Arabidopsis thaliana: one gene and its partner. The protein of the gene in region 1 interacts with the protein of each later gene in a pairwise test. Each region holds a gene or a part of one and is shown on either strand. Other genes may lie near its edges.

Evidence for each region. The genes of interacting proteins can lie anywhere in the genome.
Region 2: the proteins of RHD6 (region 1) and AT3G27420 interact in a two-hybrid assay, tested with the Arabidopsis thaliana proteins (one large-scale study listed by BioGRID).

What each region holds. Positions count from the first base shown.
Region 1 is NC_003070.9:24,793,614-24,797,556, reverse strand, and holds RHD6 (ROOT HAIR DEFECTIVE6), read right to left. Parts: upstream 2,344-3,943; 5' UTR 2,232-2,343; coding exon 1,704-2,231; intron 1,603-1,703; coding exon 1,498-1,602; intron 1,413-1,497; coding exon 1,347-1,412; intron 1,267-1,346; coding exon 1,201-1,266; intron 1,091-1,200; coding exon 959-1,090; 3' UTR 542-958; downstream 1-541. UniProt on the Arabidopsis thaliana protein: Transcription factor that is specifically required for the development of root hairs. Acts with RSL1 to positively regulate root hair development. Acts downstream of genes that regulate epidermal pattern formation, such as GL2.
Region 2 is NC_003074.8:10,146,907-10,150,967, reverse strand, and holds AT3G27420 (bromodomain testis-specific protein), read right to left. Parts: upstream 2,414-4,061; 5' UTR 2,291-2,413; intron 2,034-2,290; 5' UTR 2,020-2,033; coding exon 1,765-2,019; intron 1,695-1,764; coding exon 1,590-1,694; intron 1,504-1,589; coding exon 1,417-1,503; intron 1,332-1,416; coding exon 1,273-1,331; intron 1,150-1,272; coding exon 996-1,149; intron 904-995; coding exon 829-903; 3' UTR 548-828; downstream 1-547. Other genes in the region: AT3G27415 (uncharacterized protein), read right to left, coding at 3,066-3,593; AT3G27416 (uncharacterized protein), read left to right, coding at 3,076-3,597.

The DNA of each region.
Region 1 (3,943 bases):
TCATACTTAATTTGAGAAATAATTTTATACGATAAAGGTGCTGATGTGTATCAGTGTATGGTTATCCTACAATTAATTGATAAAAAAAATATATGCTATTCATCACTGATTTTAAGATTTCTCAACTTTTGGTTGAATACTTATTTACCTACATATAAAAATGTTTATATTTTCGAAAATACATATTTTAGTGTACCAAAATTATATCATAAAATGTTTTAGCCAAGCAAACTAGGTTAACATTATGTTTTGATCATTCATACAGAGAATGTGAAAATGTTTTGCACAGAAGAACTCGTCGTCCTAGAGCAATTATAAATAAAAAAATGGTCTATTTTGGTAATAGAAATTCATAGTTTATCTTTTTTTTCAAAAAATACTATGCATTGCAATCTATATAGAGACCCTATAATATGTGTGACAAACTTTTGACGAATTTTAAATAAATAAGCATGTCGCTCAAGAGCTAGCTTTAATAAAGCCAAGCTCAAATAGACAAAGAAAGATGACAAAAAGATAGATTCTCTGAAACTGAAACCTCAAGGAAAAAACAAAAGTGAAGAATTTTATTACTCATTTCTTGGAGTTTAAATAAAAGATCTGTATTCCGTAGACTAAAACACACAAAATACAATTAAAACAGAAAAAGAAATTGAAAAACATATTTATGTTTTTAACACTTATTTACTAGTTAAAGATTCCATCCCCGTGTGGACCCATATCAGACTGATCATCGGTGAATTCAATGTCTCTTGTCTTCTCTTCGTTATAGATGCATTAAGAACTTCTCGATTTTCACATAATCTAACGTTACATAATCTCGATTGTCTTCTCTTTGGATCATATTTCAAAATTTACGTGGGATTTATAATCGAGAGAATCATTGTTTCCCCCGATATTATTACAACGTACGTAATTAATGTTTGATAAACTGATTTATTAATGATAAAACCCTTCATTAATTGGTGATCAGATTCGAATTCCTGTCTCGTTGTGATGAGGAGAGAATGGCATCAATGGCGTCTTTAACTTGAGAAATGTCAGGAGCTTTTCCTCCTTGAGCCGGCCAAAACTCATCGGTCGCTAATACCTAACAAACAATAGATTATATCAATACGTGTTACGTAATAATTCGATAAATATGGTAATTAAATCAATCCTGAAAATTAATTTGAGGGATGTTTGTCATAACTAATATACCTTAACTTGTACTTGAAGGAACTTGACATAACTAATAGCCTTTTCAAGCATTGTCACCAAATCAACCTGTGAAACATAACAAATATTATTATCATGAGAATAAGTAATATAATAAATCTGTCATAAATGGTTATATGGATGTGTACCTTGGTGCCATTGGGAACAAGTTCTTGCAATATCTTGAGACGTTCACTTATCCTTTCTCTTCGATTCTGAACAAAATAAAACATATGTAAATATGTGTTGAGAGATTGAGTTTTATTTTAATGAATGTAAATTAATGTCAAGAAAGCAAACCTTGGCTGCTAGGCTTTGTGGATCTTTAGGTGAAGTTGTTGGCTTAGGCTTGGTCTTTCCGGTCACACCGCTACTCAGTTTCTTCGACGGTTGAGTGCTCTCTCCCTATATATCCATAATTCAAATTGATAGTAGTATATATCAACGATCTTTCATTGACATCTTATATGAAAAATATTCACCAAGACTTTGTTGTTTGTAATTACCGTGTGAGAACGTTTGTTTCCAGCGGATTTAGGCGAAAGAGACTCGTTTCTAGAACCAGTGGTTACAACAGTTGAATCAGAATATAACCAGTCTTTCTGGCCTTGGGGAGTTTCGGTGGATCTAGGGCTAATAATATCCATATGATGTTGATGATTCCAGTTTGTGAAGCCGTAGCTCATGTTGTTGCCCTCCAAGAAGGAGAAGCCGCCCCCACCGCTACTACCACCACAGCTTATGGCTGGAGGAGGAAAGCTCTCGTGATGATCAAAGTTAAGAAATGATGATCCGTTGAAATCCATCAAAGAGTTGTGATGATCTTCACCGGATGGGTAAAATACAAACCCCTGATGTTGTTGATGATCTGAATTCATCGTGCTACTGCTCGAAGCCGAGCCTCCTCCTCCTCCTCCACCGGCATAAGCTGCATCTGGCTGATCCAGTCCCGGCGAGGAGAGATCTTCGGAAGAGGAGGAATTTTGTTTTGACAAGTAATTGGTCTCGTTGGGATGGTCATTAACGAGTGCCATTAGACACTAATAAGTTTGATAAGTGATTTTTTGTTTAGGGTTTTTGTGTGTCTTGTTGACGAAAAGTGGCTTTAAGGTTGTCTATTGGTAAGCAAAGAGAGACAATGTGTTTGTGTAGTTATGTTATGATAAAGGTTTATATAAGTGGTTTATGTCTAATATTTTATTTAAGCTAGTGACGTATTCTTAAGATTTTTTTTTAATTTATTGAGTTTGATTAAACTGATTAGAAAAAGAAGCTGGCATTAGATCAAATTCAATATTTTACGTCATTTTTTAAACTCTTATCAGTTTGAAGCTTCGAAGTTATGAATGCATAGAATTCTAGCTAGACATATGTTATTTTTTGTACATTTCCTTAACTGGGAATATTGGACTAGCATGCCTAAAACGTATGGTTACTAAAAATGCTTGTATTTGTTTTGTTTTTTTGTAGTCATTGTCTCCTTGTAATGTTGTTAGTAACAACTTGTTACTCTGCCTATGGACACTCATATTTCTTAGTTCTTTCAAGATAATGACATCCATTTTACTCCGATGTTCATCGACAGACACTACACAACATTTTTTTTTTTTTTTTTAATGTGATACTTGAAGATAATGACAATCACTTTTCTACTAGATGAATAGTTCTAATAAACACAACCTTACATGTTTTCTGATACTTTTTAGATCCTCTTTAAAAAGATAGCTAAAATTTTGGTATTCTAACTTTTAAATTTTACATATTTATGATACTTCCACATATTCTTTCATTTCGTACTAACTGCACTGGTTCCATTATTTGCTTCTATCCCACTATTTTCTCACAGTTAAATTTGTTCCATTTTTTTTTTTTTTGGACAAAAAATTTGTTCCATTGTTATTATTTGAAACCTTACTCTATACAATAGTTCTTAACCAAAAAAAAGTTGTATGTTTAATATATCGTAAAATCTACTACATTTTTATTTAACCAATAAAACATATTCACATTATTATTTTATTTTTAATTTTCAATTAACTGAATGGATAAATATAAATATGAAAAATGTAAATTAAGTATTAATTAATTATAAATTTCGATATTTATTGAAAATTGTAGTAAGAATACTGAGTTTTCATTAGTTCTTTTTCACTTTTAATTTGTTAAACTCAAATGAACCCAAATTAAGGTATTTTTTTTTTTAAAAAAAGAATATTGTAAAAGATTGTCTATAGACAGAATTATCTTTTATGGTATTTAATCAATTGAATCGAGTCGGTACCATATATGTTATATAAAAAATACTCCAAACATAGACCACTAATACTGGTGAGGAAAAATTATATAAGTTATTTGTATTGTATATAATTTTAGCAACTAATGTGGCACTGTAAAACCACATGATCAACAATGTAAATAATAAGAACTCATTTTAAAAAATGGCATAGAAAAAATCTTGACGTCGGGGAAAAATATGGATCGCATATCAAATACATCATTATCTTTTTGGAGTGATAAAAAAAATGAATGAACGTAAATTAAAGTGTTGTATTACAATATTTATGAGTAATTGTTGTATTACAATATTTATGAGTAATTCATCGGGATTGTTAGCTGGCAGTAAGGTGAAATTAATGGACTGAGACTTTATAACCCCAAAAATAGTTTATTAATTAAGAGAAGCGAAAAACATAGAAGCAAAATCATCGCCGTATCTTCCGCTAATCTACACGTCTTTTTGATTCCC
Region 2 (4,061 bases), on another chromosome or scaffold:
AGGAAATTATATATATAGAAAACCTATAAGAATAGTTTGGAAAGGAGATTCACATTCTCAATTTATACTAATATATTAATAAAATAGTCAAGTCAACCAAAGAATATTGGTTTTAGAACAAAATTACCAAAAGTTTAACATATATCAATCTTAATTCTTAAATATAACTTTTTTGTTGATAATCAAATTATTATATTAATATCAAGCAGCTAGTTCAAACTTCCCCCATTAGTAAAGCTCTAGAAATATTTCATAGCTTTTTATTGACTGTCATAAAATAATTATTCAGATTTTATTTCCAAATAAAATAAAATAAAAATATCTTTTTTTTTCATGTTACGATTTTTTTTTTCGTTTTACTTTGAAATCAAAATTTGTTTTTGTTTGATTTATTTAAAAGTCTTGAATACCGTTTTAATGATTTTTTGTGCTTAGGTAAAACATCTTATAGGACGAGAAATATTTTCCCTATCTTAGTTTCTAACCGAAACTGATACAATGACAGACGATTAAAACAAAAATAATGAAATTGATACACACTATCTAAAGAGATTAATCGTCTAACAGACACATTAGCAAACTATGTGTTTTCTTTGGATTCATGTCATGATGTGGTCAATGATTTTTTGTTAGAGAAATCTTCATGGGACGAAGGACAAAGTCTTACCAAATCAGAACCGATTTTCATTTGTTAACCGTCCATGTAAGACCAACTACTACACGGCTTAACCGGACTAATCAGGAAAACAAAAAAAGTAGGAAATATATTAAACCGGTTTAGCCCATCACACCATCTCAACATCCCAGTCCATATATATACAGCCAAAGTTAGCTAGGGAGCGAGCTTCTGGGCCTCTTGACTGCTCCTACATAGAAATGCAATCTCCATAACATGACCTTGTCCTGAAGAAAACACAGTTTGGTTGAAATGCTGTTAGTTTTCCATTAATACTCATCGGAACCAGAGAATCAATTAACTACGGATTGTGTCTTACCGCCTGATCAAGGTTGACGATAACCTTATCGTTGAAATCTCTGCCAGATGCTATGCAATGATTTCCTACTATTTCAGCGACGCGGTTGAGATTCCTCTCAGGCAGCTCCTTGATCGATTTCTGAAGCTCCCGAATTTCACCACGAGTCATAGGTCTGTTTTAAAAGAGTTAACAACTAACACATAAGTAACCACCAACAAAGAATGTTCTCATAAGGAAAACTCTTTAACTGATTATATAATGGCACAAACTAGAGATCAATTAGACCACACTATACCTGCAAGTCGCCACCACATCGTCAAGAAGTCTCTCGAGTTCCTGCTGCATATTGTCCAGCTTTCAAAACAAAACATATGCAGAAGTTAGCTATATTAGATGATTGATCTTTCTGCAAGCTAGATATACTAATGTGGAACATTACTTTGGACAGCAGAACATTTGAATACTGTGACGTTATGTTCTTGACCATATCAGAGTCAGACCTCAGAAGTAGTTGAATATCATCTTCCTGAAGGAATTTTGAGAAAACAAAATGAAAGATATACAAGTATGTTTCAAGCAAGAGGATTAAGAACATATAAGTAAAAGACGAACTCTCGCTCCTCCGGTTTCTTCAGGAACAAAATCGCTCGGCGACGATGACTGACATTTGTTCCCTAGCTGAGAAATTAGATACAGAGAGCGTACACATTCCTGCATCTGCAAACGAATTGCAATAATATTGAGTACTCTTTCATCATACGATATTAGAAGTAGAACTCTGAAGTACCTCATCAACTTCTGGACTTAGATTCCTCACACACTGCCTTAACAAAACATTCAAATTATCTTTCTCAACATTTGACATCCCAGCTCCTATAACACTCTCAGAATGCCTCTCATTGGCTTCTTGTTGATCATGATGTGAGATCCTCTCACCTAGAGACAAAAGCTCAGCTACTTGAGATCTGTAACTACCAAAAGTATCTCCTCTGCTTCTTTGGATTTCAGATGATGGACACGCTTCTGCTGTTCTTTTAGGCATAGCTTCAATAAACACTGCAATGTACGCAACAACGCCTTAATCGATAAAAGCAGACAATTTCACGAGATAGAGTACTATACAAACTAGGATTATGAATTTGAGAGTGTGAAATCGAATTGCATATCAAAATAGAGAAAAATAGCGAAGAACCAATCAAGTATCGGTTTCTCTACAGTGATACGACGATCGGGGAAAAGCAAATTCCGTTTATATCCCGAAATAATGAACAATTCAAGGAAGTTCAAAAAAACTATGTAGCCGCGAAACTCACCGAGTAAACTGTCTCGCCGGAGATTAATGTCGCTGGGAACTGCCGCCGATTTGAATCGACGGATAGAAGCCGAAAAGGGTTAAAAAGTGATAACGACAAAAAAGTAGACTGCTTGCCGTTTTTATGTTAGCCATTATGGAACACGTGCGTCGTGGATTACAAAGCTTATGAGTATTATCATGGGCCTTACATTTTAAATGGGCCTTATTTATTTTGGGCTCAGTTTACTTTCTCATCTCTAATTAGACTCATTCACAAGATTGCAGTAGATTTATTTATTTTTAGTTTACGAAATGTAAATGTTTCGTTGACTTTTAAATGTGCTTCTTCAGTTACGTGTATGAATTTGTATTGAACAATTGAACTTCCACTTAATATTGAGTTATTGACTAACTGGTACGTTAATCAAGTTTTAATTCTTAGTATTTTGTATAGCTTAAATTAAAATTAACTTTTGTTGAAACAGTGCTCATTTAGTTACCACAAAATCAATCTCAATAGTCACGTGTTCTCAATTGTTTCTTGAAAGTTGGGAATTATCATTACCACATGTTCTCTTTTTACTAACAAAAGATCAAACCAATAAAATTTTAAGACAAGTTCCGATGGACCCGGTCAACCAAAACTTTGGTCAAATCTGTAGAATTCCCTATAAATTAAATTTTACCTCTTCCTTAATCTCTCAAAAATAACTCTTTTCTTCTTTTTAATCTTTTTTAGCACTAATCATAAACCACAAAAATACATAATTAATCACCACAAAAGCAATTCACATTCACCACAAAATGACAATGACACTTAAACTCCTATCTCTCGCCGTGGCTGCCTTGGCCATCACCGCCGTCTTGGCCGCCGATCCTCCAACACCGGCAAACGCACCGAAAGCCAACGGCGAAAAGAACTCTACCTCTCCTTCTCCCGCCGCCGCAGCATCCCCAAAATCACCCACGGCCTCCGCCCCAACCTCACCGCCTACAGCTGCTCCAACCATGGCCAAGAAAAATTCCACCGGAACTCCAAGCCCTTCCCCATCTTCCCCATCTCCAAAGTCATCATCAGCCAAAACTCCGGCTTCAAGCCCTGACTCAAGCTCCGGTGATTCTTCCGAAGGTCCTACCAGCTCCTCTGACGCACCTACCGCCTCCTCTCCGCCAGCTCCGACTCCAGAAATGTCTCCATCTTCCGATGACGGAACTGGCGCCAGTGACGGCCCTGAAGCTTCGGCTCCTGCGGCAGGAGCCTCATCGCTTGTGATCTCTGTCTCGGGCTCTGTTCTCGCAGCCGTTGCATGGCTTTTCTTCATATGATTGAATATTACTAGTATTTTCTTGGAGATTTCATACTACATTTAAGATTATATTATACGTTTCATATTTCAATTTTTGGGTTTATTTTAAAACAGTTTGTTCTCCGGCCCGATTTTTCACACGTTAAATTCGTGCATAGTACGGAGGTTAGGATATTTGATGTTGTTACAAATGTTTAGTTTGTGTTATTTATGTTTATGTAATCTTTAGTCATTATAACAATAACCATGAGATTCTCATTGTTCGAAGGGTCTATTTGTAATTTAATCACATTCATTTTCTAATGATCCTTGCATGGCTAGTATCTATATGTATATAGCATCTCCTTAAGGACAACAATGGGGAGCAACACATATATTAGGTATAGCGTTACAAATTATAGTCTAAATCAACAACAACAAGAAGAGAACCATAATATCAACAATGGGGAGTTCTATTCAATTTTTATTTTTTTGATGAATTCT